4 linked regions of the Sus scrofa genome follow. The protein of the gene in region 2 interacts with the protein of the main gene of each other region in a pairwise test. Links are inferred from orthologs where the notes say so. Each region holds a gene or a part of one and is shown on either strand. Other genes may lie near its edges.

The links.
Region 1: the proteins of UBXN11 (region 2) and RHOBTB3 interact in binary tests that used the Homo sapiens proteins (3 or more experiments, as listed by UniProt). The two-hybrid records come from large-scale screens. The link is inferred for Sus scrofa from reciprocal best matches to the Homo sapiens genes UBXN11 and RHOBTB3.
Region 3: the proteins of UBXN11 (region 2) and EIF4E2 interact in binary tests that used the Homo sapiens proteins (3 or more experiments, as listed by UniProt). The two-hybrid records come from large-scale screens. The link is inferred for Sus scrofa from reciprocal best matches to the Homo sapiens genes UBXN11 and EIF4E2.
Region 4: the proteins of UBXN11 (region 2) and EIF4E interact in binary tests that used the Homo sapiens proteins (3 or more experiments, as listed by UniProt). The link is inferred for Sus scrofa from reciprocal best matches to the Homo sapiens genes UBXN11 and EIF4E.

Annotation. Positions count from the first base shown.
Region 1 is NC_010444.4:102,388,311-102,395,646, forward strand, and holds the end of RHOBTB3 (rho-related BTB domain-containing protein 3), read left to right. Parts: intron 1-3,915; coding exon 3,916-4,031; 3' UTR 4,032-6,824; downstream 6,825-7,336. UniProt on the Homo sapiens protein: Rab9-regulated ATPase required for endosome to Golgi transport. Involved in transport vesicle docking at the Golgi complex, possibly by participating in release M6PRBP1/TIP47 from vesicles to permit their efficient docking and fusion at the Golgi.
Region 2 is NC_010448.4:83,709,340-83,717,189, reverse strand, and holds the start of UBXN11 (UBX domain-containing protein 11), read left to right. Parts: upstream 1-2,674; 5' UTR 2,675-2,798; intron 2,799-2,807; exon of another isoform or gene 2,808-3,009; intron 3,010-7,559; exon of another isoform or gene 7,560-7,580; intron 7,581-7,850. UniProt on the Homo sapiens protein: May be involved in the reorganization of actin cytoskeleton mediated by RND1, RND2 and RND3. Promotes RHOA activation mediated by GNA12 and GNA13.
Region 3 is NC_010457.5:133,059,137-133,066,985, forward strand, and holds the start of EIF4E2 (eukaryotic translation initiation factor 4E type 2), read left to right. Parts: upstream 1-2,063; 5' UTR 2,064-2,199; intron 2,200-3,658; 5' UTR 3,659-3,715; coding exon 3,716-3,735; intron 3,736-7,849. UniProt on the Homo sapiens protein: Recognizes and binds the 7-methylguanosine-containing mRNA cap during an early step in the initiation. Acts as a repressor of translation initiation.
Region 4 is NC_010450.4:121,407,398-121,415,199, forward strand, and holds the start of EIF4E (eukaryotic translation initiation factor 4E), read left to right. Parts: upstream 1-2,588; 5' UTR 2,589-2,694; coding exon 2,695-2,886; intron 2,887-7,802. UniProt on the Homo sapiens protein: Acts in the cytoplasm to initiate and regulate protein synthesis and is required in the nucleus for export of a subset of mRNAs from the nucleus to the cytoplasm which promotes processes such as RNA capping, processing and splicing.

The sequences.
Region 1 (7,336 bases), on a different chromosome or scaffold from region 2:
TCTTGGATTTGAGAAATGACTTGTAAGAATAGTAGTTTTAAAAAGTAAAAAGTCAATGTAATACATTCCTTTAAGTATGCAGTATGGTAATTGAGGATACTTTAACTTATATAATAACCTATGTTATGCAAGAAATTTTCTAATGATTGTTTTACAGTTCCCATCCATTTTAAAGTACATTTAAAAATTTTTCTAAAGTAGGAGTTCCTGTTGTGGCACAGTGGTTAATGACTCCGACTAGGAACCATGAGGTTGCGGGTTTGCTCCCTGGCCTTGCTCAGTGGGTTAAGGATCCAGTGTTGCCATGAGCTGTGGTGTAGGTCGCAGACAAGGCTTGGATCCCATGTTACTATGGCTCTGGCGTAGGCTGGCGGCTACAGCTCCCATTGGACCCCTAGCCTGGGAACCTCCATATGCCACGAGAGCGGCCCAAGAAATGGAAAAAGACCAAAAAAAAATTTTTTTTTCTGAAGTAGAGAGATAGGAGTTCCCGTTGTGGCTCAGTGGTTAACGAATCCGACTAGGAACCATGAGGTTGCGGGTTCGATCCCTGCCCTTGCTCAGTGGGTTAAGGATCCATCATTGCCATGAGCTGTGGTGTAGGTCGCAGACAAGGCTCGGAACTCGAGTTGCTGTGGCTCTGGTGTAGGCTGGTGGCTACAGCTCCGATTAGACCCCTAGCAGGGAACCTCCATATGCCACAGGAGTGGCCCTAGAAAAGGCAAAAAGATAAAAAAATAAAAATAAAAAATGAAAAATAAAAAAATAAAGTAGATAAAGTGGCCTCAGATGGTGGCATTGGTTGTGATAAATGGAATTTGGTTTTAACCACCTAAGTCAGAAACAACATTTAAATAGTACAGCTTTCTAAATTTTTTTCTTGTAAGGAAAAAAATATCCCTTATAGGTCTGTTTTGCTGATATCTCCTGTTTGTATAGGAGTCTATTACATTGCTTGGCAATAATGATTCTTTATTGATCAAAGATTGTTGCAAAGTTTACTGAGCAGAGAGTATACTTAATGTGATTTTTAAAAGATAAATTAGAAAGATTAAAAGCAATCAAAGGGTGAGTTTCTGTGTGCTGTATAAGATGAAAGAAAATGAAAATAGAATAGTCATCAGAGTAGGCTGTTTAGATATGAGGGTTTGCTTGTGTTATTGCGTAGAATAGACTCAAGGAATAATCGTGTTAAAAGGAGAAGGAAATTAACCATCTCCTAGTCAAGTAGTTTCAAACTCTAAAAGGTGAAAGGAATTTCTGTTGTAGCACAGTGGAAACGAATCCAACTAGAAGCCATGAGGTTCAATCCCTGGCCTTGCTCAGTGGGTTAGTGTTGCTGTGGCTGTGGCGTAGGCCAGCAGTTGTAGCTCCAATTAGACTCCTAGCCTGGGAACTTCCATATGCCATGCATGCAGCCCAAAAAAGACAAAAGACAAAAATAATAATAATAATAAAAGGTGAAACCTCCTTGGAGATGCCAGAAGGTCTTGTGGGGTGGGGGCAGAGAGTGAAGCGGGTGCAGGAAGGAGAGGCTGATGTGTGCAGTTCCTGAACTCCTCCCCCCAACCTTCATCCAGAATAGTTCCACTTGTATCTGCTTAAATCTTAGAATTCTACTTAAAATTTTGCTTGTAAAAGAGAATCTGCTGCTAAAAGATGTGTACATCTCTGGTTTCATTCAGCTACTTGTTGTGCAGTTAAGGAAACCAAGAAACCCATAGTCAGTTCTTGGCAGACGTATTGGGAGAGTATTTAGCCAGTCAACAAACATCATATGCCTATTGGGAGCCTCTCTACATAGAATTTAACTATTGGTGCAGAGGAGTACCATAGTAAATCAAAGCAGAGTAATAGATATTTAATAGCCATTTACTTTGTGCAAGAAACGAAGTCCATTCCTAAGCCTAATGTATATTTACACTGGGTGTTAACAGGGGCATTGTTACATAGTTATTCTTTAAGGAGTCAATTAAATATGAAATAAATGAACATTTTGGGAGTTCCAGTCCTGACTCAGTGGTAACAAACCAGACTGGTATTCACGAGGACTTGGGTTCAATCCCGGTCTCACTCAGTAGATTAAGGATCTGGTATTGCTGTGAGCTGTGGTGTAGGTCGCAGACATGGCTCAGATCCCTAGTTGCTCTGTCTGTGGTATAGGCCAGCAGCTTTAGCTCTGATTCGACCCCTAGTCTGGGAACTTCCATATGCTATGGGTGCAGCCCTTAAAAAAAAAAAAAAAAAAAAAGAATAGAAATGAACATTTTGATTTTAGGGCCACTTGCGTTATGCCACCTGAAGTCACCTTCAGTTGTAAAAGAAGAGTAAGATGATTTTCCACTCACTATTTTGTGTAGATGTATGATACACATAGAGTACTATTACAGCCTTGGGAGAAAGATGCTCTGGGAATCCTTTGAGTTATTCATTTTCATTTTATCATACTATTTATGGAATTGCCTATAAGTATGTTATGACCACCTGACATAGTGAGAGGCAGGACTCCAAGGTGTAATTTGAGAAGGCAGGATAAGAAAATGAGGCAGTGTTAGTGATTCCCTTTGATGAGAATTAGAACAGTATCATGAGTGCTCTGAGTCTGCGGTGCCTGTTCATGTCCAGGACCTGCTGTGCTTGGGCAGAGGAAAAAAGTCCCTGTTGGTAAGGGAGAATGCAATAGTCTATGTCAGCAGCTACAAACCCACAGTCTGGGGGTTGAATATAACTTGTCAAGGGGTTTTATTTGGACCACATGGATTATAATTAAAAAAAAATTTTTTTTTTAAATTTTTTGGGAGTTGCCATTGTGGCTCCATAGTTAATGAATCCGACTAGTATCCATGAGAATATGGGTTTGATCCCTGGCCTCACTCCATGGGTTAAGGATCTGGTGTTGCCATGAGCTGTGGTGTAGGTCGAAGAGGTGGCTCGGATCCTGAGTTGCTGTGGCTGTGGCTGTGGCTGGCAACTTTAGCTCTGATTCTACCCCTAGCCTGGGAACTTTCATATGCCGTGGGTGCAGTCCTAAAAAGACAAAAAAAAAAAAAAAGAAAAAAGAAATATTGGGGCAGAGGATGCTCATTAAGGGAGGTATTATAAAGGAAGCCTCCAGCCTTCCACCCATATCGACGTTCTAGAATTCTGACCGCCACCCTGACTACCACTTTGACTACATAAAATTGAACCATCCTTCCCTGACCTGAGAGAAAAAACTCTATAGGTGCAGTCACTTCGACATTCTGAGGGAAATTTTCAACCTAGGATTCGATATTCAGCCAAATCACTTATCGTGTGTAAGGATACATTAAAGATGTTTCATCACAAGCAAGGTCTCAAAAATACTTCTATGCACGCCCCTGGCCTTGCCAGGAAGCTAATGAAAGTTGTGCTTCACCAAAACTAGAGAAAACAGAGTGAAGGATCTGGAGGCCAGAGGTGGAGGGAATCCCCCAGGACAGCTGGCAGCAGAGTTAGAAGGAAGCGGGTACAGGCTCAGAAGAGAGGGGTTTCCAGCGTGGCAGCAGCAAGGACAGGAAGGGCTTGGTCCTCTGATTGCTGTGGCCCCATGGAAAATAGAATGGAGAGGACTTTAAAGAGTTCGGAAGGTTGAATTAGCTACTGAGAAAACTAAATGAAAAAAGACAAAAACATGTCCCCTGTCTCCAGGGAAAACAAATCTCATTTGGGAGCAAAAAAAAAAAAAATGTAATCAAATACTACTTGATGAAGCAGTGACAAGAAGTATATAATTGTAAATCACAGACTAACTTAAATCTGGATGACTGAGAGCAGGAGAGGGAGTATGCAGCAGAGTTTGGATCTCATCTGTTAAACAGGAAACCAAGAGTTAATATTGAAACTTGATTCCAAATTAAATATATGCAATTAATATTCTTTCTCTAAAAATTTTAGTGGAAGAACGCAGTTTTGTTGAAAAGCACAGATGGCCATCGAATATGTACTTGAAGCAGCTTGCCGAATACAGGAAGTATATACACTCCCGGAAATGTCGTTGCTTAGTAATGTAACCTGGAAATCTCGTATGCATACACTTTTTCCTTTTACTATGAAGAATCGGATACTTCTGGGTTCCAGTAAAAGTCTTGTGGCAGAAACCAATGTGGGAGTTAAAAAAAAAATATCACATAGAGCTTCATGTGTTCTTAATTCTCTTTGAAAAAGCTACTGTTATGATCTTAAAAGGGAACAGAGTATATACTGTAGGCTAAAATTAAGCCCTTGAAGATGCCCTGTTGCTTTAGTGATATTAATACCCCTCCCAGTTAAGAAATATTTAATTTAAAGAAATCAAGTGGAATTAATACAGAAATTTCATCATGTTTGATTAACTGCTCGGTTAAAATAAGGGCCAATTGAAGACCCAGTGTGACTATTTCTATCATAAGAAATCTAGGAGAAGACTGATCAAGCTGAGATTTTAGAAATATAAGTCTGCCTGGGATTTTGAAAGTGAAATGGCCACTTCGTTCTAATCAGTGACAGTGTTTGAACCATCATGAAAAAAAAAAATCTAGCTTTTATATGGGCAACCGGACTGAGCCACCGTGTCGATCCTCTGGAATTCTGATTAGGCAAGAAATCTATATAGGGCTGGATTTATGGCCATGTAACCTGTGTGGTCACACAGGCCCCTTGCTCAGAAGGGCCCCATGCTTGGTTCAGTGCTTTGCGAGCTTAAAATTCTTAATAATATTTGAAGAGGGGCCCTGCATTTTCACTTTGTACTGGGCACTCCTGCCAGTTAAGTATATCTTCTAGCAGGGTATGTTTTCTTGTGCAAGCAAATGTTATTCTGTGTGAAAGCAGAAAGGAGGTGCTGACAGTAAGCAAAGAGAAGAAGGCTTGCTGAAGGAAGAGATACAGACTTTCCCATCCTTGGTGAAGTCTGTGCTTCCCAGGGCCTCCCTCCTCTGCCACCCTGACTGGCAAGTGACAAGTGCGTCCTGTTGGCTTAGCTGTAAAACGCTCATAGTTCTGGCTTTATCACAGGTGAATAGTTTCTTGATCATTCTCTAAGACTAGGATATTGGCAAAAGTGACTCACCAGTGTGACTTTGATATTCATTTACATAATCGCTCCTAGGAAAAGAGGCTTCCTGGAGAATTTGCATTCAGAGGCCTAAGAGTTTTGTTTTTGTTTTTTTTTCTTTTAATGTGTTTAGTAAGATTAAGATGCTAGTGGCTTGAATTGTGTGAATTCTTTCTGAGGACCGAAAGGTTGTTTGATGAGGAATAGCATGAGTCTTGTCCTTCAAGATAATGTAGTAAGTTAAAAGAAAGGATATAAATCCAGACTTCGTACATGTAGAAAAAATGTAGGCACTAGGATAGAAGACAGATCGTTTCTCCTGTATCATATGCCAACAGAAGTAATTATATCAGAAGCTCACAAGCTGAGAGATGAAAAACTAGATTACCATGTATTGTTAGTATCATTTTCACCTGTAATTAATAATACATTGGGATATGTTTTTCTTTTAATTTCCAATGACTTTAGAATACACATAATTTTTCTAGGTGTTCAACAGTTTGATTAAGCAGTTTTATACTATAGTATAAACATAATACTCTACACTTAGTCCTTGAATGTAACCAGCACCATCAGAGTAAAACAGTAAAAATCCTCTACAAATATCATCCAAGAAACCTGATTTCAATTGGATTGTACTAATGGAGATTACTGGAATGCCTTTTATGATTTTTGTATTTTACTCAGTTGAGTTAATCAACTATTGGCAGATCCCATTCGACAAGGATTAGCATTGGAAAAAATAAATACTGCAGTAGATTTCAAGAAATTCATTTATGTTTTAGACCTTTTAAAATACGGTGATAGTCTTGTGCTTTTCACAAGGATATTCTTACACCCACATTATTTACAGCACTTAATATTCTAAGTCAGTTACTTGTAACCTAGAAAATTGAAAAATAAAAGTTCTAAAGCAAAATATTTTCTTGAAAATAGTATTTAACATTTCAGTAGATCATAAATAGTCTTTGGGTTCTTGGTCCCAAGTGGAAGTTGGGTTTGGGAGCTGGTGCTCTGTGGTATGGAGCATGTAGTTTTTATTATGAAGGCGAGTGCCTCAAACACACGGGTATCACAGCTCTCCTGGGCTAGTCAATGCAGTAATCAAATTAGTTTTTAAACCTAGATTCTTCAATACCGTTGAATTAACTTAGTTTAAAGTTAACAAGGACATATTTTTAAAACCTTAAACACTATCTTGGAGAAATGAGTGTTCTTTTTGAGTTTTTCTAATTGAAAAATTATTTCTAGATGAATGTATGCTTTGTGCTGATCTCTGCTTCAGTATATTTACCACTCATTTTAATTAGAGTAATTACTGTATGGTAGAACTAAGGCCCTTTCTTTCTGGGCCAGGTTTTCACCTTATATAACCCTTTGTAGACTTCTGACTACTCTGTGTTTATACTGTAGGAGAGTAGGCTTATAATCTAGACGGTTCAGTAACATAGCTGAAATTCACCCTGTCTAAGCCAACATAGTGGCTTCATATTGGGCAGAAGAAGAAAAACTGAATTAGGTAAATTTGACTTCCCAGACAGCTGAACTTTTCAACTGTAATTCAAAAACTACACTACACTGATATAGTTATTTAGACACAAAAATGTCCTCAAGAGTATTTTATTTAATTTAAAGCATCTGTTGAATTCAATCTTTAATAATTTTGCAAAGATGGGTCTGTGTGTATTTTAATATAGCCTGACCTGAATTTATATGTTTTTAGTTTAGTATTTAACATTTTTGTAACAAATAAACCTTTTTTTTAAAACAAGTTTAATACAGTGTCATGTAATTATTTTACCTTGGATGTTGAATTGCTGAAGTAAATTTCGGAAAACTGCCTTGTATTTCTAAAGCATGATTGTGTTTCATGGCAAATTTCTGTTATGTGTAAAATACTTAGGATGTTGCTGATATGATAAATGTGTGAGATGTGATAAAAAAATTGATAACTACCTTTAACTGCTGGTAGCAAAATTTCTCGTAACAAAACAACTGCAATTATTTAGAAAAATGCTTTGATAATTATGTAACACAGAAGTGAACCCCTATAGGCTGGAGTATTGGCTGGGGTCAAGACTTTTGAGAAGGAAAAGCAACTCTACATGATAGAGGGTTAAGAATTTGAACTTGGGGAGTTCCTATTGTGGCTTAGTGGTAACAAATCTAACTAGTATCAGTGAAGATGGGGGTTTGATTTCTGGCCTCGCTCACTGAGTTAAGTGTCTGGCATTGCCATGAGCTGTGGTGTAGGTCACAGATGCCGCTCAGATCCCAAGTTGC
Region 2 (7,850 bases):
TCACTGGGCACAGTAGATTAAGGATCCAGCGTGGCCACTGCTGTGACTTAGGTTGTAACTATGGTTCGGATCTGATATCTGGCCTGGCAGCTCCATATGCCACTGGGCCCATGGGGGTGGGGTTGGGGTGGGGGAATAGAGACCTCCAGAACTCTCTAACTCCAGGCCTGGGGTCTACTTCCTCACACCACAGGTGGGGAACAAGGAGTTCCCATTGTGGCTCAGCAAAAACGAATCTGACTAAGAACCATGAGGACTCAGGTTCGATCCCTGGCCTTGCTCAGTGGGTTAAGGATCTGGCGTTGCTGTGAGCTGCTGTGGCTGTGGCATAGGCTGGTGGCTAAGACTTTCCATCTGCAGCAGGTGCGGCCCTAAAAAAAATAAAATTGAATAAAAAAAGGCACAGGTGGGGAATAGGCCCAGAAAGAGCCTCCCTCCTGTCATTCAGCACCTTCCCACCATCGTCAGGCAGTGGAATCAAGAAGAAGCCAACTGGCGGCCATCTGGGAAGTCCAGAGGGGATCCTGGGTGAGCTTGGAAGCTGGACAGATTGTCCTCCACCATCCTTCCAACACTCAAATCTTATGTGAACCTGGAGACCTTAGAAAAATTTCCAGAACCATCTAAGATGGGAGATAGAAAAATATAAGTCAGAAAAATAACTATTAGGTGAATTTAGACTCTTGTTTCACTTTTGTAACTTTTTGTTTTTGGTAAACACCTTTTCCAAAACAATAATACAACAGTGTTACAAGAAATTTAATTTGGACAGTAAGCCTACTGGGTTCAATTAGTATCTCTCTTTTCCAGATACAGAAATTAAGGCTCAGTGGAGTATCTGGAGCAGAAACAGCCAGCTAGTAAGTGACAGAGCCCAGCCCCACAGACTTTAAATTATGCTGACCCAGAATGTAGTCTCAGTAAGTCATGGCTATTATTATTTTCCAAGTTTCTATGATGAAAATGTACACTATCATTTTCATAATACAGCTCTGACTTTTCCTAATAAATGTTATTTTAAAAATAAACTGCCTGCTAGGTTAGAGGATTCCTGCCTCTCTCACAGGAACTAGATTTTTGTTGCATGTCAGCCTACTGCAGAATCTCAGGCCAGGCTCCCAGCTCTGGGTAGGAGGAAGCTATGTTGTAAATCCTGGTGCTTGGGTAAATGCCAGTTCACTCCCCAGTCTTGCTGAGGTGGGAGGCAGTCGAAGGAGCACCACAGGGCCCATGAGACCAGAGCCCCCTGCTTCCCCTGCTGTTGGTTCTTGTTTACCTTCAAGAGCAGAAGGAACAGGAGCAAGGTGACAGTGTAAGATTGCCAATCCCCTGACTATGGCTCCAGCCTCCCCAAACAGTTGGCCTAGCATGACCTCAAACTTTCTCATCTCATATATATCAGGCCTCAGAGAACTTTCTGGGAGAAGCTCAGTGGCAAGAGAGCTTTCAGTCACACCTTCCACTTGAACTGTTCCCCTGGCCATGGACCTGAACCACCTGTACCCTGGCTTATTTTTGCTTGCATGTTTTACTTAAGTGGGAGCTTCTAGAAAGAGCACAGATTCTGGAGGCAGAGAGTCTAGATTAGCATCGACTTTTGCTGCTTTCTACCTGTATGGTCTTGAACAAGTCACTTCACTTCTCTGAGCTTCAGTCTTCTCTGCTGTAAAGTTCATAATGCTGACAGTGGGCACTTGAAAGACACTCATTAATTGGTAGTTCCCCTCCTTCTCCAATTGGTGTGTAAAGAATGCCTCAAGGAGCCTGCTCTCTCCTAAATGCAGTAGATTAGAGTCAAATGGAAAATACTACGTGTGGTTGAGACATGCAGAAAAAGGGCTTTGGTAGCTGAGCCAAGGCATAGACTCTCAGAGTATCACAGGTGGAAGGTTGTGAGATAACGGTAGTTAAAAGCAGGAAATGTTTTGAAAGCTTACTCTGTATAGCTATTGTGACAGGCACTCTGCATACATTATTTCATTTAATTCTCACACAACCCTATAGGGGTGGGTATTCTCCCCATTTTACAGAAGAAATTAAGGTGAATAACTTGCCCCAGGACGCACAAGTCAGGGGCCTGGACTCCAAAGGCCAAAGTCCATGCTCTTAACTAAATCACCTTTTGTTGCTCTAATCCAATACCTTATTTTTTTCATGTGAGGCTCAGGAGGGGAAATGTCTCACCCAAAGTCACAAAAAGAAAAAAGTGTTTTATCCGAAGGCAGGGGGAATCTTACCTGAATTTTTACACAAAGGAAATAGAATCTGAGCGCCCCTTTAGGGCACCATTTGGTCAAGAAGTTAACAGAGGTTTTCAGATTTAAGAAACATTTATTAACTACTTGCATCATGTCAATTCATACTCCAAAGAACTCCCCCTTAGCACTGTACTGATCAGACGAGAAAACAGAGAAACGTAATTTCTCCCCAAATCAATTTAGCAAAACAACATTGTCGGGATTACAGCTATGGATCCAGCGACTTCTAATGGCTTCGTGAATCCAACCCCAGGCCCTCCACTTTCAGTGCCTTGGGGTGGTAACAAATAGACCCTCCGTTCCCCCAAACCCAGAGTCCGCGCAGAGCGGTGGATTCTGGGATTTGCATGTATCCCGCGAGGAGTTTAGACTCTGTGGGCCAATAGAATTCGAGTACAGAAGGCTGTACCCTCCTCCGCTGCCTGCTGGTTGCTCAGGACCCCACGTATTAGCCAATGAGAAGTGCACTGGTCCTGGTTGCCTGGGAAACCGCGTGACAACAAGATGGCGGCGCCGCGGGGGGCTCGGCCGACCTGCGTGGTGAGTTCCAGCCCCGGACCTTTCTGCCCGCAGAGCCCCCAACGCAGGCTGGGGCCCTAGCACAGAGAGCCTCGAGGACAAGCGAGCCCGGCGGATCAGCGGGCCCTCAGCGTTCTGGGAGCAGATTAGGCCCCCGCCTACTTTGGCAGCGCGTGGAGGGGGGAGGTGGCGACGCGGCTCCCTGGGCGGAGCTGGTGGTAGAAGTTGCTAGGTGAGCGCTTCCAGCTGGAGATTTGGGGAATGAAGGCGTGCAGCTGGCTGGTCTGTGTTGGCGCTGTAGAGCACAGAGGCCCGTGGAGGGACAAATTTGGGTCCCCAAAATAAAGAGGCGTAATACAAAGCCCAAATTTTAGCCGCCCCAAAGTGAAGGCAATAGTGGTGGCTCTGTCCTCAGGGTCCCCAGTCTGAGGGAAAAGACACAGCCCTGCGCTCAGGAGCCCCCAGGCTGATGGGAGGATACAGTTGTCATCCGTAGGGGTCCTCTATAATCCATGGGGAAATCGATCCGGAGTCAGTGTGTTGGGCTAGAGTGAGACTGGAAACTGGGAAGTCAGTTTGGGGCCATTGTGACAGTCCCAGAGAAGGGCAGTGAGAGCCCCACTCTAGGATGGCCAACAGTGGCCATGGAAAAAAAAGGAGCTATGTATGAGAGAAATGCAGAGTTTACCCTGCAGGGGTAGGATAGAATTAAGAGGGAAAAGAGTCAAATTTTTGCCTCTCATTAAGAAGGAGAACGTGGTGGAGTTCCTGTCGTGGCACAGCAGAAACGAACCCGACTAGGAACCATGAGGTTGTGGGTTCGATCCCTGGCTTCGCTCAGTGGGTTAAGGATCTGGCATTGCTATGAGCTGTGGTGTAGATTGCAGACGCGGCTGGGATCTGGCGTTGCTGTGGCCCTGGGGTAGGCCGGCAGCAACAGCTCGGGTTAGACCCCTACCTGCGAATCTCCATATGCCCCAGAGTGTGGCCCTAAAAGGACAAAAGCCAAAAAAAAAAAAAAAAAAAAAAGCAGGAGGAAGTGGGAGGAATTTATGTTGAGGGAAGATATGGGTTTGGCTTGGAGGCCAGGTCCCTTTTTTTTCCTGTGATAGCTTTATTGAGATATGTCACATACTATATACTTCACCCTTTTAAAATGTAAATTTCAGTTGTTTTTAGTATATTCATAGAATTGTGCAGCCATCACCACAGTCAATTTTAGAACATTTTCATCAGGAGTTCCCGTCGTGGCGCAGTGGTTAACGAATCCGACTAGGAACCATGAGGTTGCGGGTTCGGTCCCTGCCCTTGCTCAGTGGGTTAAGGATCGGCGTTGCCGTGAGCTGTGGTGTAGGTTGCAGATGCGGCTCGGATCCCACGTTGCTGTGGCTCTGGCGTAGGCCAGTGGCTACAGCTCCGATTCGACCCCTAGCCTGGGAACCTCCATATGCCGCAGGAGCGGCCCAAGAAATAGCAAAAAGACAAAAAAAAAAAAGAACATTTTCATCAGTTCCAAAGGAAACCCTATACTCTTCAGCAGTCCACACACACACATGCACACCCCACCTCTCCTTAGCACTTCCAACCCTAGGCAACCTCTAATCTATTTTGTGTCTATAGGTTTGTTCACTCTGGATCTTTAATATAAATGGAATCGTAACAATTAGTGGTCTTTTGTGATGGACTTCTTTCCCTTAGCATATGTTTTCAAGGTCCATTCATACTGTAGCATAGATTTCATCCCTTTTTCTTTTTTTCTTTTTTTTTTCTTTCCTTTTTCTAAAAGGGCCGCTCCCACGGCATATGGAGGTTTCCAGGCTAGGGGTCTAATCTGAGCTGTAGCCGTGCTGGCCTACGCCAGAGCCACAGCAACTCGGGATCCAAGCTGCGTCTGCAACCTATACCACAGCTCACAGCAACGCCGGATCCTTAACCCACTGAGTGAGGCCAGGGATCGAACCCGAAACCTCATGGTTCCTAGTCGAATTCGTTAACCACTGAGCCACGACGGGAACTCCTCATCCCTTTTTCATTGCCAGATAGTATTCCATTGCAAGGATATATCACATTTGTTCATTCATTGGTTGATGAACACTTGGGGTTGTTTCCAGCATTATGAATAATGCTACTTATTGAACTGATATACAAATTTTTGTGTGGATGTACGTTTTTATTTCTCTTGGGTATATACCTGGGGTGTGGAATTGCTGAGCCACAAGATAACTGTGTTTAACCTTTAGAGGAACTGCCAAACAGCAGCCGTGCCATTTTATATTCAAACAAAGTTTCCAGTTTCCCTGCTCATCCTTGCCAGTGTTGGTTAATATCTGTTTTTTTGACTAGTTTCTTTTGAGGGGTCATTATGGTGACTAGAATTTAGAGAAGAGAAAGATAATCAGGTCTGGTGAAAGTTCATGCAGGGCAGTCTCAGCCACTAAAGGCCCAGTGCCTGAGACTTGAGTGTGGTGATTGTGATGGGGGTTTCATGACTCGGAATACACTAAGGACCAGTGAATTATATACTTTAAAAGAGTTGGAATCCCTGCTGTGGTACAGTGGGTTAAGAATCCAACCATAGTGGCTCAGGATGTGGCCATTAAAAAAAAAAAAAGAGTTAAGTATGTGAATTATACTTCAATAAAGTTGGGGGTTTCTTGCATTTTTTATTTTTATTTTTTACCTTAAAGTATAGTTGATTTACAATATTGTGCCAATTACTAGTGTTTAGCAAAGTGACTCAGTTATACATGCATATCCCAGGAGATTGGGTATAGTTTCATGTGTTGTACAGTAAGACCTTGCTGTTTATCCATCTAAATGGAATAGTTTGCATCTACTAATACCACAATCCCTCTCCATCCCACTTCCTCCCCCCACCCCCTTGGCAACCACAAGTCTGTTCTCTATATCTGTGAGTCTGTTTGTTCTATAGATAGATTCATTTGTGCCTTATTTATTTATTTATTTATTTTTGCTTTTTTTAGGGCTGTCCCTGTGGCATATGGAATTTCCCAGACTAGGGGTCAAATCAGAGCTATAGCTGCTAGCCTACACCGCAGCCACAGCAACACCAGATCTGAGCTGTGTCTGCAACCTACACCATAGCTTAACGGCAATGCTGGGTCCTTTTGCCTACTGAGCAAGGCCAGGGATCCAACCCACATCCTCATGGATACTAGTCAGGCTCGTTACCGCTGAGCCAGAACAGAAGCTTCCTCTGCCGTATTATAGATTCCACATGTAAGTGTATCATGTATTTGTCCTCTTTCTGGTTTTACTTAGTGTGATAATCTCTCATTGCATTCTCATTACTGCAAATGACATTATTTTGTTCTTTTTTATGGCTAGGTAGTATTCCATTGTATATATGTACCACATCTTAATCCATTTGTCTGTTGATGGACTTTTGGTTTGTTTCCATGTCTTGGCTATCATGAATAGTGCTGCAGTGAACATAGGGGTGCAACATAGTTTTGTCCACATATATCCCCAGGAGTGGGATTTCTGGATCAATAAATCTGTTTTTTTTTTTTTTTTTTTTTGCCACACCCAAGGCATATGAAAGTTCCCTGGCCAGAGATCAAACCCACACTGCAGCTGTTACCTGCACCACAGCTATGGCAACACCAGATCCTTAACCTGCTGTTCCATAGGGGAACTTCCAATAAAGCTGTTTTTTAAACACATGGATTTCCCTGGTGGCTCAGTGGGTTAAGGATCTGGCATTGTCCCTCCTGTAGTATGAGTTCAGTTCCTGGCCTGGGAAATTCCATATGCCTCAGGTGTAGCCAGAAAAACAAAACAAAACAAAACAAAAAAACTGGGGGAAAAAAAAAGGAGTTAGCCAGTCAGGGGAAGGTTATAGGTGGGAGTAGGGAGACCTTTTTGTGGGGGCAGCTTCCAGGCCTGGCGAGATACGCGTGCAAAGATCTGGTGCACTTCAGGGCTGACAGTTCAGAGTGGCTCGAGGGTAGGGTGGGGTCCAGCGACACAGGCTGGGACCAGATGATCCATGTTAAGGAATTTTGAATTTTTTTTCCGTGGGTGTGAAGGAGCCACTGGGAGTATTTAGCAGGCAAGTGACATGTCAGCTTTGTGTTTAAGATCCCTCTAGAAGCGTGTGGAGACTGGCGAAGGGAACCACAGGGGCTGTCTTGCAGGTTCACATGAACCCTGAGATGGCAGGAACGAGGCAGGGCGGGGGCAGTTTGGGGAGGCTGGATGCTGGAGGACAGGGGTGAGGAAGCTCTGGGCCTGATCCTTGGCTGCACCTCTGGAGAAGGCGTGGGGCACGCGTCCCAAACTCTAGAATGAAGACGGGAAAGCTGCCTCCTGGCAGCCCAGGTGCCCTTGCTGGGCAAATTCAGAGGCAGGGTAGAGACCAGTGCCACGCATTTCCAAAGTGGAACAGAAGACTCCATTCAGGAGATCCTGCTGTGATGCAACAAGATCAATGTCTTGGGTGCCTGGGATGTTGGTTTGTTCCTCTATGGGTCACAGTGGGTTAAGAATCCAGCGTTGCAGCAGCTGCAGCTTGGGTGGTGACTGTGGCTTGGATCTGATCCATGGCTCGCGAATTCCATATGCTTCGGAGCAGCCAAAAAAGAAAAAAAAAAAAAAAAAAGAGAGAGAGAGAGAGAGACTTGATTCAGGCCCTGATAGAAATCCTTTGAGTCTAAGGTTTCTAGATATTAGCCACATAATATACCTAATTCACTGAAGAGAGCAGTGGCCTTTAACTGCATCCCCAATGTAACATTCATCTTTCCAGAAGGAAGAAGAAAGGAAGGGAAACCAGCATTTGTAAGTGCCTTCTGTGTGCCAATAACAGCCATGGTTCACATTTTAAAAAAAATTTTATTGGAATATAGTTGCTTTACAATGTTGTGCCAATTTCTTCTGTACAGCAAAGTGACGCAGTCCTATATATATGCCAAGTCCCCCTTGGCAACCACAAGTCTGTTCTCTATGTCTGACAAGTCAGTTTCAAGTACTCCCTTTGAGCGTGACACTGGCCTAGGTGCTTTATGTGTGTTAACACTACCTGGCTGGTCCTGTTTTCATTTCCCCTTT
Region 3 (7,849 bases), on a different chromosome or scaffold from region 2:
AATCGTCAACACTCCGAGAAAGTTCGATGGCCTAGAAAACAGACACTTCCTTCTTCTCTTCTCACAGGCCAGGGCATGTATTTGCACTGGTCCCAAAGGAGGGGTCGAGCTAGGCAGGGAGGCAGGAAGGCAGGGAGGCGACCCTGACCAGTCTCCCTTTGCCCCTCTCAGGAAACATGGCCAGCTGGTCTTTCTGAGGGAGAAGACTCTGCTTTGAGAGTATAGCTGGGGCCTGAGTTCTGGTGGTGACGACTTGGGCAAGTCATTTGTGTTCCCTCAGCCTATTTCTTCATCTATAAATACGGGCACAGGTGTCAGTTCCTCTCTACCCTCATCACAAGATCAAAGGTGCAGTGAAAGTGACTAAAAAGTGTTAAAGTGTCACATAAAGACCTGATAATGGAGAGGGGAGAGGACCCCGGAAATAACCCCCTCCCCCACGTGGAGGGTTGCTGGCTTTGGGAATCAGTCACCACAAACTCATCTCATTTACTCCAGTGTGTGTGTGTGCGCGCCCGCTGTGCATCTGAAGCAGGGGCTTAGATCTGGCAGGCAACTGGAGGATGGTGGACCATCCCTGGTTCCTGTATGCCTCTTACTAGCTTAGTCACCTGGTATTGGTCCCTCAATCTCTGACTGCTTCAGAAAGCGGAGATTAGCTCTGTAGCTCCTGGCAGAAATAAGCAACGATTAACAACAGCTATCGCTTATGAGGGGCACCTGTCTACCGCCTACCACTGACGGTCCCGTTCAATCCACACGCCAACCTGAAGAGGCGGATACTTTCAGTACAGGATCGCCAGTACCGTGCAGCCGCCCTGGGGGTGGAGTCGGGATCTGTACCAAAGCCATGGGTCCAGAGCCTGCGCCGCCGCCGACTCGGCGCTGTATTTCTCCGAACCTGCCCGGAGAAGGGCTCAGGACGCGCTCCCCTGGGCAGGGCGGGCGGCGGCAACCCAACAGAAACACAGCTCAGGCCCGCAGGCCGCCGGGTCCCCCAAACCCAGCGCCGCGGCGCAGCGGCCGGGGGCCGGCGTCCTGGGATACGCGCTCCCACCTGGCCGGCGCAAAGACGTTCCGCCGCGTCCCGCGCAACCGGAAGTGGCCGGACCCGAGGCGGAGGGACCTGGCGGAGCGGAAGTCACTCCGTGAGGCAGTGGCGACGGCGGCGGCGAGAGGATGAACAACAAGTTCGACGCGTGAGTGCCGCGTGGCCGACCCCCGGGGCCCCTTCCCCCAACCGCTCCCCGCGCCCGCCCCCGCCGGGACCGCGGCAGGCGCAAACTGCGGCACCGGCTCCCCTCCCTCGCTGGGGCTGCGGGCTGGCCCGGCCTGCGCGGCCGGCGGGGAAAGGGGGTTTGGGGACGTGGGATGCCGGGGTGTCGGGGGGTCCCAGGGTCATACGGACCGAGGACGACGTGCGGGGCGGGGGGGGGGAGGAGGTGGCCGTGCCGCCCGGAAGGGGATTTTTGGACGCCCAGCGCGGCGGGTGCAGGTTGCCCGCGGCGTGGAGGGGCGGAGACCTCGGTGGTTTGGGTGTTTCCGCAGCCTGTCTCCCTTGGCTCTGAATCCAGCTTTCCGCACACACTCACGGTGGCCTAGCGAGGTCCCGTCTCCTGTCTGTGTTCTCACTTGCAAAGTGGGCACGGTAACAGAGCCCATGTGGGAGAGTTGCAAAGATGCGGTGAGGTAATGTGGCTGCCGCGCTCAGCGCAGTGGCTGCTCAGTTACGGAATTCTCCTCGTCTTGCTGAGACTCCTTCCTGCTTCCTTTCTCCTCCCCCTCCTTTCCCCGTCTTCCAACACACTCCAAACAAGGGCGCCTCAGTTTCTTGCCCAGCGAGTTCACTTGTTTTTACCCTTCCTTTGCAGCTCTGTGCATATCTCATACGATTTCTAGTTCCAGCATCAAATAATTTGGAGGCGCAGGAAGGAAATGCAGTTATTTTTGCATATTTTCCTCCAGCGATTGTTATCACGGGATAGATTATGTTCTTAGCTGTCTTTTAATCGGCTAGTAACTCTATCTTCTCTTCCCAAGACCTAGATTTCCAGTCCCAGACCCACCAGTCACCAGTTATTTGACGGCAGAAAAGTTACCCGGTTTCTGAGCCACTGTTACCCAAACCACATTAGTGGTTAGTGCCCTGTTGCCACACTGAATGTGATATGGATCAGATCACATCCAGCCGTGCTTAAGGTACTTTGTAAACTGACAGGGAGATATAAATGTAAACTGAAATTACTCTTAGTTGAGGTTGCCACTCACTGTTGCTGATGGGAAATTTTGAGTTTTTCCAGTACAGTGAGTGCTGGTGGATAATTCAGAGGTCCTGGATTCCAGCCCTCCTGGTAACTCTTCAGGCATGTTTCTTGGTTGCTGAGCGGACTCTTGCTGAAACAACATTCCTTTTTGATTTTTTTGGTTTTGGGGTTTATTTAAACAAACAAATGCTTGCTTGCTTGCTTGCTTGTTTAGGGCCATACCCCAGGCATAATGGAAGTTCCCAGGCTAGGGGTCAAATTGGAGCTGTAGCTGCCGGCCTCCACCACAGCCACAGCAATGTGGGACCCGAGCCATGTCCATGAGCTACATCACAGTTCACGGCAATGCCAGATTCTTAACTCACTGAGCAAGGCCAGGGATCGAACCTGTGTCCTCATGGATGCTAGTCAAATTCATTTCGGCTGAGCCACAACAGGCACTCCCCCACACTCTTTTTTGGATGGGACTTGAACCCAGCCAGAACTCAGAATGGGACTTGCATCCACAATCCCCAGCTTAGCGGGGGACTCAAACCCACTTTTATTGTCTTTTTAGGGCCACACCCATGGCATATGGAGGTTCCCAGGCTAGGGTTCAAATTGGAACTGTAGCTGCTGGCCTACACCACAGCCACAGCAACACCAGATCCGAGCCATGTCTGTGACCTACACCACAGTTCACAGGAAGGCCAGATCCATAACCCACTGAGTGAGGCCAGGAATTGAACCTGCATCCTCATGGATGCTAGTCAGATTCATTTCTGACGAGCAACAACAGGAACTCCTCAAACCCACTTTTAATTGAAACCACTCACCTGGTGTCAGGACATACTGAAGCTCAGGTCAAGAGGCAAAATGATAGACAAGGGTGATTTATTACCACCGGATGCTTGTGAGAGAGAAGCGGGCAGGCCAGGGAGTGCAGTCCCAAAGGAAAGAGGGCTCTGTTTTTATAATCAAAAGAAAAAGTGGGTCCTCATTTTTGGATAGATGTCAAGGATCACATCATTAAATCCTCCTCTGGCCCTCTGTGGTCTAACCAGAACTGTTCCCACCGTGGCTCAGCAGGTTACCAACCCAACTAGTATCCATGAGGATGCGGGTTGGATCCCTGGCCCTGCTCAGCAGGTTAAGGATCTGGTGTTGCTGTGAGCTGTGGTGTAGGTCACAGACGTAGCTCAGATCCCGAGTTGCTGTGGCTGTGACCTGCAGCTGCAGCTCCAATTTGATGCCTGGCCTGGGAACGTCCATATTCCACAGATGGGTCCCTAAAAAGCAAAAAAAAAAGAAGAAAAATGGCAATAACGGCTTCCACATGCGTTGCTACTTTTCGTATATTATTTCTGTGTCTGCTAACAACCCTCTAAAGCAGATTTTGTTAACCTCCTTTATAGATAAGGAAAACGAGACTCTCTGAGATTAAATAACTTGCCTGCAACAAGAAGGGCCATATGGTGGGATTCAAACTCAGGTTTGTTTAATGTTGGTTCAAGTACCTCTTGACGAAAACTAACTTTGATCGTTTTTAATTAGTTTTAGTTATTAGCTATTTGTATGCTGAGCCAGATTTTTAAAATATCTGTTTTCTAGCTCTGCAGGAAGCAAAACTGTCTTCCATTTAATTAGCACCTGAGAACAACACCCCTGCCCTTAGTTTTGTTTTTGTTGTTTTTGGTTTTTATGCGAAAGAGTGCAGTTTTTAGGCTACTGCCTTGTATTTGGCCTCTGCACCCTTCACCACATGGCTCCTAAGGATGTGTTCCAGTTTGCCAGAATCCTGATCCAGTGCCTGGATTGAGTACTGTAGTCTAATCCGGTGGGTTTAGATTAAAGATGAGCTCTAGGCTCCCTTTTTGTGAGACTTTCCAGCTTCGTAACCTAAATGCCCCCCCACCCCCAGTCCTGAGCTCCCACTGGCCTTGATCCTGTTCATATGCAGAACCCCAAGAAGCCTTCACTGTACTTCAGTCCCTAAGGTATTGAGCTGGGTTTTTAAATTTAGATGCCATATTTGATTTCGTACCTGTTCTTTCTCCATTAGCTTTGGCTCATCTTTTTCTTCCTTTTTAAACATTTTTTTGGCCTTGTTTGTCGCATGTGGGAGTTCCTGGGCCAGGCATTGAACCCCAGCCACAGTAGTGACAATGCTGAATCCTTAACCACTAGGCCACCGAGGAACTCCAAGCTTTGGCTCATTCTTAACTGTTGTCTGAACAACTTGTTTGATGCGCATCCTCTTCTGCCTTGTGCTGCTTTGATTTTAGAAGTCCATTCGGAGTTCCCATCGTGGCGCAGAGGTTAATGAATCCGACTAGGAACCATGAGGTTGCGGGTTCGGCCCCTGCCCTTGCTCAGTGGGTTAAGGATCTGGCGTTGCCGTGAGCTGTGGTGTGGGTTGCAGACGCGGCTCGGATCCCGAGTTGCTGTGGCTCTGGCGTAGGCCTGTGGCTACAGCTCCGATTCGACCCCTAGCCTGGGAACCTCCATATGCCGCGGGAGCGGCCCAAGAAATAGCAAAAAGACTAAATAAATAAATAAATAAATAATTAAAAAAAAAGAAGTCTATTCACTAAACATGTGTGATTTCTCCCACTGCCTGATGCTGGACGTGTAAAGATGGATTAGACCACGTTCCTACCTGCAGTGAATTGTCTAGTCAGAGTACGGGGGTATACCTGGTGAGCTCATTAGGTGCCACTCAGTCTGGACAGCCTTAGATACTAATTGCTGCCTGAGGCTGTGGAGCACTGATTTTTCCCTGTGGATTTTATCATTGCTCTCATCCAGCCTCAAGCTGGGAGGAATGGCCTCCGGAAGATAGGATGCAAATGACTTGCCCTAAGTATAGACTCGGTGTAGAGTGGTTGCTTAGCTCCCCTCTCAAGAAATAGCAGCATAAGATGAAGATCCATTGGGGTTTGCATTTACTATCTTAGGAATCGTAGGAGGGAGTTGGGAGATGGGGTCTAGAGAATCACAATAGCATTCTTTCTTGTCTGGCAAAATTGTTTTTCTTTCTTTTTTTTTCTGTTAATGGTGGTTTATCTCAAAAGCAATAAAAAGAAAGGAAGACACATGCTTTCCTTGTGACTGACAGAAGGCGAGATGCTAGGTGATGTGCCCTCCTCAGCCGGGGTGAAGAGGAGCGGACCCCAGCGGATATGGTGGGGGGTTGGGAGCTGAGAAGAGAGAAGTGGTTTGAGCCCCTGGGGTCCACCCTAAAGAAGAGAATTAGCTGTTTGGGGCCTAAGCAGTAGAAAAACTCATGAGATGTTTGCAATCAGGGGACCAAAAAAACTGGCCATGAGCATCGCTGGGACAAGTACAGGCATTTATGTGGGGATGCTCTGAAGAGGGGCTCCCAACTCAGAGAGATGGGGAAATATTTTCAGGACAGGGTGGCTTTTAGTCTGCGTCTTAGAGGACAGGTTAAGTGGGCAAGAGGAGCTGTCTGAGGAGAGACAGGTGACAGCATAGCAGGGTGAGGTCGGGACTGCAGGTGGTCAATAATCACTGGAGGTGTTCTCTGGTCTCTGATACACACCGTGTGCTTCTGAAGGTTGGGGACCTGCTTGCTGGACAGGCTCCTTCCGAGAAGGAGACCTGCCCAGCTCAAGTTTCATAAAGGGGAAGGGGTGTCGTGAGCACCATTAGGTAGGCCTCCCAGGAGGCAGGGAGGCTGCTCTCGGCCCTGGAGATGGCAGCATCACAAGCAGAACCCTCCTCCTTCCTCCCCACTCTGCCCATCTGCTCCCTGCCCTTCACCCCTACCGGCTTTCTCTGCCTTTGCGTGTTGTCTTTATTTTCTCAGGGCTTTTCTTATATGAGACTTAGATGAGTGCCTCAGCTCCTGAATCGGTGTGATCTTTCATGTCCTGGATGAACAATTGAGGGAGGAATCGACTCATAATTTTGAGCAAGACCCTGAGCCATTGGTTATTGGCCAGGCTGGGCTACCCTTTGGCCAGGAGCCCTTCATAGGCATGTCTTGGCCTGGGTAAGGATGGCAGTGGTCTCGGTGCGTGACCTCCAGAGTGTGTCCTACACCAAGGGCAGTGAAGTGGGCAGAGCAGACGTCCCAGCAGGCGCCCAGCTCATCCATTTGGACATTGGAGCACTTTTTTATGCAGTAGGCACTTGGGATTCGTGGGCAGACAGACAAAGGGCCGGGTACTTTGCACCAGACGCTTCTGCATCCCCGTGTGGCGATGCAGGCAAACCTGCTTTCACTGCCCTTCACAGATACTGCATTTTTTTTCAAAAATTGAAGGTTTATAGAAATCCCATGTTATTGGATGATCATTAGCATTTTTTATCGATAAAGGATTTTTTTAATTAAAATACGTCCTTTTTTTTTTTTTTTTTTTTTTTTTTTTTTTTTTGTCTTTTTGCCTCTTTTTGTCTGTTGTTGTTGTTGTTGCTGTTGTTGCTATTTCTTGGGCCGCTCCCGCGGCATATGGGGGTTCCCAGGCTAGGGGCTGAATCGGAGCTGTAGCCACCGGCCTACGCCAGAGCCACAGCAACGCGGGATCCGAGCCGCGTCTGCGACCTACACCACAGCTCACGGCAACGCCGGATCGTTAACCCACTGAGCAAGGGCAGGGACCGAACCCGCGACCTCATGGTTCCTAGTCGGATTCGTTAACCACTGCGCCACGACGGGAACTCCAAAATACGTCCTTTTTTTTAAAACATATTGTTTTATTGCGCTCTTATTAGACTGCAGTGTAGTGTAAACATACTGTGTGTACTGGGAAACCAAAAAAAATGCGACTTGATTTATTGTGATAATTTGCTTTATTGCAGTGACATGGAACCAAATCCACAATATCTCCGAGATATTCCCATATCTCAATTATAGTTTGACCGTTTCTAGCACATTTTCTTAGAATTGCCAAATTCGATTTGACTGGGTAGGGTCAAAATGGTGATTTCAGAGAAGATCCATGTAAGTTAATGATCCAGCTCTAAACTAAACAGCATTCATACTATCCTTGTGAATTCACCTTCCATTTATCTTTTGGTCTAAATCCAGTGAACTTGAGGTTCACTGAACGCCTTAGTATTTTGTTTTCGGGGGCGGCACGTTATGCTCAGAGACTGAGATTTTCTTTGCCAATAATTTAACACAGATTCACTGTGAGAATTACACAGTAGTTTCACAAGCCAAGTGTGCAGATGTGTACTATTAAACCGGTAAATAGCATAACATACTCCACACCAGCGATAGATTACTCATACTGTCATTTTAGCAAGAGGAGATGAATAAAGCCCAGATTTTGTTGAGGCAACCTTTGTGTGCATTGGTAATTGAATGAGACAGCTTGCCAACCAAGAGCTCAAGTCCAGCTGCCGGCTCCGAAATAAGTCCCTTGGTTGCTAGAGCACGAGCCTAGGAACCTAGAGCCCTGAGGTGATGGGCGGGCTGATCTCTGTGCGGCTGCCCAGACTGCTAAGGGAGTCACCTTTTCCTCAGCAGGAGTTAATGTCCCTTCTCTTCCCGAGCCTGCTGCAGGGTTTAACACCACTCCCTGCCAACCAGGGTAGCCTTGGCCACTGTGGGAGCAAGGCCTCAAGATCTTGAG
Region 4 (7,802 bases), on a different chromosome or scaffold from region 2:
AGTGAAGAGTGTTTTGATCAAGAGAGTTAATAAAATGGGAGCTATCATTAAAGTTTGAGAATATCAGTGGTTTTCAGTCCCATATAGAGATTGAAGTGTTTTTAAATTTTAAATCTGTTATCTAGCAGCATTGGGAAAATAATACATCTATATTATCTCCTCAAAGATATTGAGATACTACTTTTTTTTTTTTTAGGATGGCACCCACAGCATATGGAGATTCCCAGGCCAGGGGTCCACCTGGAGCTACAGCTGCCGGCTTACACCACAGCCATAGCAACATCAGATCCAAGCCGAGTCTGCAACCTACACCACAGCTCACAGCACGGCCAGATCCTTAACCCACTGAGTGGGGCCAGGGATGGAACTGACAACCTCATGGTTCCTAGTCGGTTTCACTTCCACTGCGCCACAACAGGAACTCCCATCAGATACTACTTTTAACTAACAGAAGATATCACTGGGATTGCCTATAATTACTTTGGATAGTTTAATTAAGAGCACATAGTCTCTGCAAATAGAAACCTCTTTATCCAATTTGTTTTATTTTATTTTTTAGAACTCTATTACTTTAAACCTACTAGAGCTAAGCTGACTGGACCAAAGCTTTCATTAATCATCTCTGACATCCAGGTAAACCAAAGCATATGAGCAGGAAATGGTTTTGAGCTCTTATTACAGTCTCAATTATGTGTTAGTCAACTCAAGCAACCATTATGTACTCAATAATAGGTATGACACAGCTCTGGACATCAGCAGCACTAAAGCAGGCAGGCACAGGTAGCCTGATTATACTGATTTTTCTGGTGTTAACATTCTTAAGAAGCATGGGAAATAGTAATGATATAATATCTTCCTCATTAAAATCTTGCAGTAGCACTCTGCTAGATTTCTTCTGTTTTTTTATATGGATAACCAGACTGTGCAGAGTAAGACTGTCTTCAGAAATGACAGCACAAGCAAAAAAAAGAAAAAAAGAAAGAAATGACAGCACAGTATCTTAGCGGGGAAGAAAACGTCGGATGTCACTCTGGGGATAAACCTCTAATTGCCAGTGATTATAACAATATTTTCCTAAACATTAAAGCCTCTATGGAGGGTAGCTAGTTATAAAAACATTGTCTCGAAACTTTTAAAATTGCATTGGTGTACATGATAATGTAACAACATAAGCAAAAGAAAAATTTAAAACATTGTTTAAAGAACAGTAAGGGAAGCAGCTGATCCTTACGAAGGCACGAGGTTGCTTATTATGAAGCATTTATAGAGTCTGATGCATTTTCAAAGCTGGTTACAATCATTACCACAGCATACCCTTGTGAGGTAAGTGTATTACCATCTGTGGTTCATAAATGAAAAAGCTGAGGCACTGAATGATTAAGTCACTTGCCTAAGGAGAATGAGTCAACGTCAAGAGTCATAGTTGACCCAGCCTAACGACTCCTGACGGTCAGTCCAGGGCTTAGTCAGCGGGGGCCGGAGTGGCTTCCCTGGCTGGCACCTGGACTTGGGCTATTTCCCTTCACGTCGAAGCAGAACAGTGCAATCGAGAGGACAGAACTTCAGATAATTTTTACTTCCACGCAAGATTTAGCCCTGAGATTTTAATCTCAGGAGTTGGAACACGAAAAGCTGTCGGGTGCACTCCCCCTCCCCCGAACTGTGGCAAGTGGTTACTGTGGGCGGTTCCGCCACTCCCTTTCGCAGTGATGGCAATGAGTGACCACCAGCGTTAGCGGAGCCGGGGGACGGGGGAGGGTTGATTGCTTAACGATTTTCCCTCGCCGCCTCTTTTTGGAACTAAGAGAAAATGGTGGGAAGTCAAAAGAAAATTAAATAAACACACAGGCAACTTGTCCTAGGACCTCAACTAAGCAAATGAAGCCTTATTGTGCGTGTTGAGCCTACAGTTCCCAACCTTCCGAGGAAGATGGGAGGACAGGGCGACAAAGGGCACAGGAGGCATGCCTGGCAGTGAGTGCGACAGCAACTACCCAGGCGGAAGAGCAGAGGACTGAAAGCCACCCTCCAGCACGCGAGTGTCCGCTGCGCCGAGAACCGCGCACGGTACCCACCGGCCACGTGACCAGTCTTTTTTTTTTTTTTTTTTTTAAACTTCCTAGCCTAAAAAAAAGAGACAGGGAGAGCGAGCCACCGAGAGAGCGACTCCACTTCCCAGAAGCCTCTTGTTAAACACGCAGCTGCAGTCTTGCGCAGGCGCCGCCAGGGCCAAACGGACACGTCCGTCACGTGAACAGTAGCCGGCCAATCCGGTTTGAATCTCATTTTTTTCCTCTCACCCCCTCCCTTCAGGAGCGGTTGTGCGATCAGATCGATCTAAGATGGCGACTGTGGAACCGGTGAGTATTGCCTTTGGCCCCCACCCCCACCGGTCCCCGCGCTCCGTCTCCTTTCGGACTGAAGGATCCCGCGGGACGGCGTTCCCAGCGCGCACGCTACCCCTTGCCGCCCCCTCCCCCTCTTCTTTGGCCTGACCTCCCTGCGGACAATTGGGGGCGCCCCGGAGGCTGGCCGCCACGGCGTGTAGAGCACACGTTCTGGTGGGGGCCCGCGAGCTAGGGGAGAGATGTGGGGGAGGGGCGGCGCGGCTCCCCCTGTGGAGCCGCAAGGTGTCTATAAGGGTGGTGCGTGATCCGGCCTCTGGGCGAGGTGTGTGGGAATCGTGCCTTTGCGATGGGAAGGCGCGGGCCCGGCTCCGAACGAGCGCCAGGATTCGCAGGGACGGTGGGCGGCGAGCCGGCCTGGAATGAGATGGAGGAGGGAGCCTCGGAGCAGCCTTTCCCTCTCTCCCTCCCGAGCTCTGGCTCAGGGGCTTGGGTTCCGGGCGCGCGCCGGGATTTCTTAGACCGGTGGGCCAGGGAGCCGGTGAGCGCGCGGTGCCACGGGGTGGGTTGGGCGGGAGTGGTGCCGCGGCACGCGCGGAGAAGGTTCTTCCTCGCCGAGGGGAGCCGAGAGGGGCGAGCGCATGTTACTCCAGCATGTCCGAGAGTTGTCGGGGTTGGCGACCCGGGAGGCGAGAAAGGTTTCGGGGTGGGGAGGAGAACCCTTGGTGGCGCGGTAAAGCTCTGAGAGTAGGGTGAAGGGTGCTGGTGGTTGGAAGGGGGATCACATTGTCCTCGCCCCTCCATGCTTGAGCCTGGGCTGTCATGGAGGAGGGAAGGGGGAGGAGCGAGGCCTGCTGATAGCTGCTGGGGCTGGTCGGCTTGCCGGCCGGACCTGCGGCATTTCACACGCGCCTGTCTTCCATTCATTCATCCTTTCCGCGCTGTGCGCACGCCTCAGAGAGTGCGAATGGGTGTAGATCCATCTGTTCTTCCGCGGCTTTATCCTCTGGAAGAGTTCTCAGACACTGTTTAACTTAACTTTTAAAGTTAGGTTTCTGTTTGATTTTTTTTCTTTATCCGTTCTCCTGGCTTTCTTCCCAGTTCAGGCACCATCTTAAACTTATTTTAAGCAGGCTGATCCCAGAGCACAAAGTTGATAGTTACCGCCCAAAGGAGAGAGTATGTTTGTCATAGTTTGGGTTTGCCGGCACTGACTCACGGAAACTTCTAGGCCTGTGTTGCCGTTTTAGGAATGTCACATACAAGTGATTCTGTTTTAGAGGTGTGTAGCCAGAAAACGTTTGATACTCTGGAACTGTACTAGACCTTGGTTGCCCGATAATTTTGTGAATCTTTAATGGTAGTTCGTGATTTTGATGATGGCGTCCCAATTTGCTTTGACTTTTCTTTGAAGACTTTTATAATTAAAAAAAAAAACTAGTTATAAAAAGATCTATAGGATACAAAAATGCTTATTTTTCAGTTACATTGATGTTAATTATCCTTTCCTTGTTGCCCGAATTTAAGGCAGTTTTTCTGCTTGGTCATTTGTACTTATATTTATTATTTATTCATTTGTTTATTTATTTATTTTTGAAAATTGTATGTATGGCCGCACTCGAGGCATATGGAAGTTCCCAGGCCAGGGGTTGAATCCGAGCCACAGCTGGACCTAAGATGCAGTTGCGGCTACGCCTACGCTGGATCCTTTAACCGGGATCCTTTAACCCACTGTTTCGGGCTGGGCATTGAACCTGCATCTCCGCAGCAATCCCAGCCACTGCATTGGGATTCTTAACCTACTTTGTCACAAGTGGGAACTCCCTTGTATTTTTATTGGTACCGATTTTTATTTATATTCCTGAAAATTAGATGGACTACAAAACTCTTAAGTTGCTGGTACAGTTAACTGGTTTTTAGAACATTAATGTTAAATAGATAAAAGATATATTTGTAAAATTTTAGTTAAGTCCCTTTTAATGAGTTGTGACATCTATTTCTAACTGGACGAACTCTCCTACCTATTGTACCAGCTTCAATAAAAAGCATTGCAGCTGGTAATAGGGGCAAGGCTAAAACCTCTAAACAATAAAACAATAATGTATTCTGTGCAGTTTCAGTAACATTTAGGTAATTTGGGTTTTGCAAAGCTATGCTGTTTTGGTTCAACAGCAGAGAACAGAACTACAAAGTGTTGAAGAACTGTTTTGAGTCAGTAAATATTTATGGCCCCCTGTATGTTTAGAACCTTGTACCAAGTGTTCTTTAGGATACAAAGTTATACAAAATGTGATTATATACCTTGTTCAATGTAAACCTCTAGGAGCTTAATTTCCAGTGATCTTGTGAATGATACAGTATAGTAGTCCTTCTAGTAATGACCCCTGGGAGATTTGAATACTGAATTCAAATGTGGGGAGTGAGGAACTTAAAAACCTAGTGTTTGAATAAAATAGAAAGCCAGTTTGAAACTATAGTATTTTTAGGATTCTTGTAAAATAATTTTAAGTGTTCATTTTTAGTGAAAATGCAAAATTTTAGTACTTTTTAATGCATCCTTGTCCACAGGTTAGTCCTTTAGAATTCTATTTTTGGACGGTTTTAAATAGTGAGTTTTGTTTAATTTAATTTATTTACTTATTTTGACTGCGCCTACAGCATGTGGAATCTCCTGGGCCAGGGATCAAATCTGAGCCATGGCAGCAAACCAGGCCACAGCACTGGATCCTTAACCCCCTGCACCACAAAACAACTGAGATTTTTTTTTTTCAAGCAGCTGATTAGTGTTTGTTGCAATCGGTATCCCTGTAGAAGTCTACAGAAAACATATTTGTTCATTGCTAATGGAGTTAGCTTGTGACTTTCCTTACTTTTTGCTGGACATAATCATAAGCACCTAAGAGTCAGGTTTTTTCCTGCTTGTCCCACCTTTGTAGGCATTCAGGGAATTTTTATCGATGGAAATTATGTTAAATATCATTTTCAACTTATATTGTGTGATTCTCAAGTGTCTGTGAGATCAGTTAAATGGCTTACATGAAATGTAAAAAAATGATACAAATGAATTTATTTATGAAATAGTAATCAACTCATAGACATAGAAAACAAATTTGGATTACCAAAGGGGGAAGGAAGGGAGGAGGGGTAAATTAGGAGTTTGGGATTAGCAGGTAACACTACTATATATAAAATAGATAAACAACGAGGAACTGCTCTGTAGCACAGAGAACTATACTCAATATCTTGTAATAGCCTGTAACGAGAAAGAATCTGGAAAGTAATAAATGCACACATATATAAAACTGAATTGCTTTGTTATACACCTGAAACTAATACAGCATTGTAAATCAACTCCTTTTTTTTTTTTGCTTTTCTTTTTTTTTGCTTTTTAGGGCTGCACTCACAGCATATGAAGGTTCCTAGGCTAGGGGTCTAATCAGAGTTACAGCCACAGCAATGCCAGATCCAAGCTTGTCTGTCCAAGCTCGCGGCAACACTGTATCCTTAACCCACTGAGCAAGGCCAGGGGTTGAATCCACAACCTCATGCTTCCTAGTTGAATTTGTTTCCACAGCGCCATGATGGGAACTCCTCGACTACTTTCAAAAAAAAAATTTTTTTTTTTTTTTAAAGGGCCTCACTTGCAGCATATAAAGGTTGCCAGGCTATGGATGGAATCAGACAGAGCTGTAGCCACCGGCCTACTCCACAGCCACAGCAGCACCCGAGCCACGTCTGCAACCTACACCACAGCTCACGGCAGCACCAGATCCTTAACCACTGAGTGAAGTTAGGGATTGAACCCGAATCCTCATGGATCCTAGTTGGGTTTGTTAACCACTGAGCCACAATGGGAACTCTGTAAATCACCTACGTCAATTTTTAAAAAAGCAACACACACACACAAGAAGTGGTTTGCAGATAGTAAATGTGTTGAGAAGTTTGATCGGCAATTTAAAGGAAGTGCTGTACTTCTAAACAGGTAATATGGCAAGTTTTTTTTTTTTTTTTTTTTTCCTCTCTTTTAGGACCTCACCTGCAGCATATGGAAGTTCCCAGGCTAGAGGTTGAATCAGAGCTATAGTTGATGGCCTACACCACAGCCATAGCAATTTGGGATCTGAGCCGCATCTGCAACCTACACCACAGCTCATGGCAATGCCAAATCCTTAACCCCCTGAGCCGGGCCAGGGGTCAAACCTGCATTCTCATGGATCCTAGTGGGTGGGGCTCGTTAACTGCTGAGCCACGAAGGGGACTCCCATAATATGTCAAAATTTTGAACATTGGGATAAACAATATTCTCCTGTTATTCTTTTGGCATTTGAATGTGGTTAGGTTAAAATTAGATTTTGTGGGTAGATCAAAGTTAGACTTAATATTAGTTGGTGAAGATGGCAGGCCAACTTGCCTCCTTTGGGTCATGGTTTTTAATAGCTTTTATCTTTATGTTGCATTCTTCATTATTGGGCTTTTTTTTTTTTTTTTTTTTTTTTGACTTGTAGTTCTTTTAAAGGTAAAAGATTATGTATGGTTTCTTTAGTTAAACTTAGGGAGTAGGTGTTCATGCTGTGGCACAACAGAAACAAATCCACATAGTATCCCTGAGGATGCAAGTTCAATTCCTGGCTTTAGTGTGTTGGGGATCCACCGTTGCTGGGAGCTATGGTATAGGTCACATGTGGCTCAGAGCCCTCATTACTGTGGCTGTGGGGTAGGCTGGCAGCTGTAGCTCCCATTTGACCCCTAGCCTGGGAACTTCAATATGCTGCGAGTGTGGCCCTAAAAAGCAAAACAAAACAAAACAAAAAAACCCTGAAGTTTCTACTTGTTTTTATATTGTATGTCTCGAATTTTTTAAACTGTACATTAGTTTCATAAGTGGAATTGTACAGTCAGCTGATCTAATGTTTCCCCTTTTATCCTTTAGGAACATATTTTGTATTGCAAAGAGTTTATTAAATAAGTCTTGTAGTTCCCGTCATGGCACACTGGTGCATGAATCCGACTAGGAACCATGAGGTTGCTGGTTCGATCCCTGGCCTTGCTCAGTGGGTTAAGGATCTAGTGGCGCTGTGAGCTGTGGTGTAGGTTGCAGACTCAGCTCGGATCCCGTGTGGCTGTGGCTCTGGTGTAGGCCGGCGGCTACAGCTCCGATTTGACCCCCAGCCTGGGAACCTCCATATGCCACGGAAGCGGCCCTAGAAAAGGCAAAAAGACAAAGAAAGAAAAAAAAGTAAACAAGTCTTAAATACATATTTGACAAATGTTATATAATGCAGTGTTTTGGCCAACAAGCAGACCTTGCAAATTAATATGCATATTTTTGCATTATGAAAGAACCCAGTATATCAAAGTTCATATGTAAGTCAAACAAATTAGTTAGGTTCTGATGTTTATATTTTAAATTTCACTTCACTTTATGCTTTGAATTAATATGCCTAATTATTAGGCTTA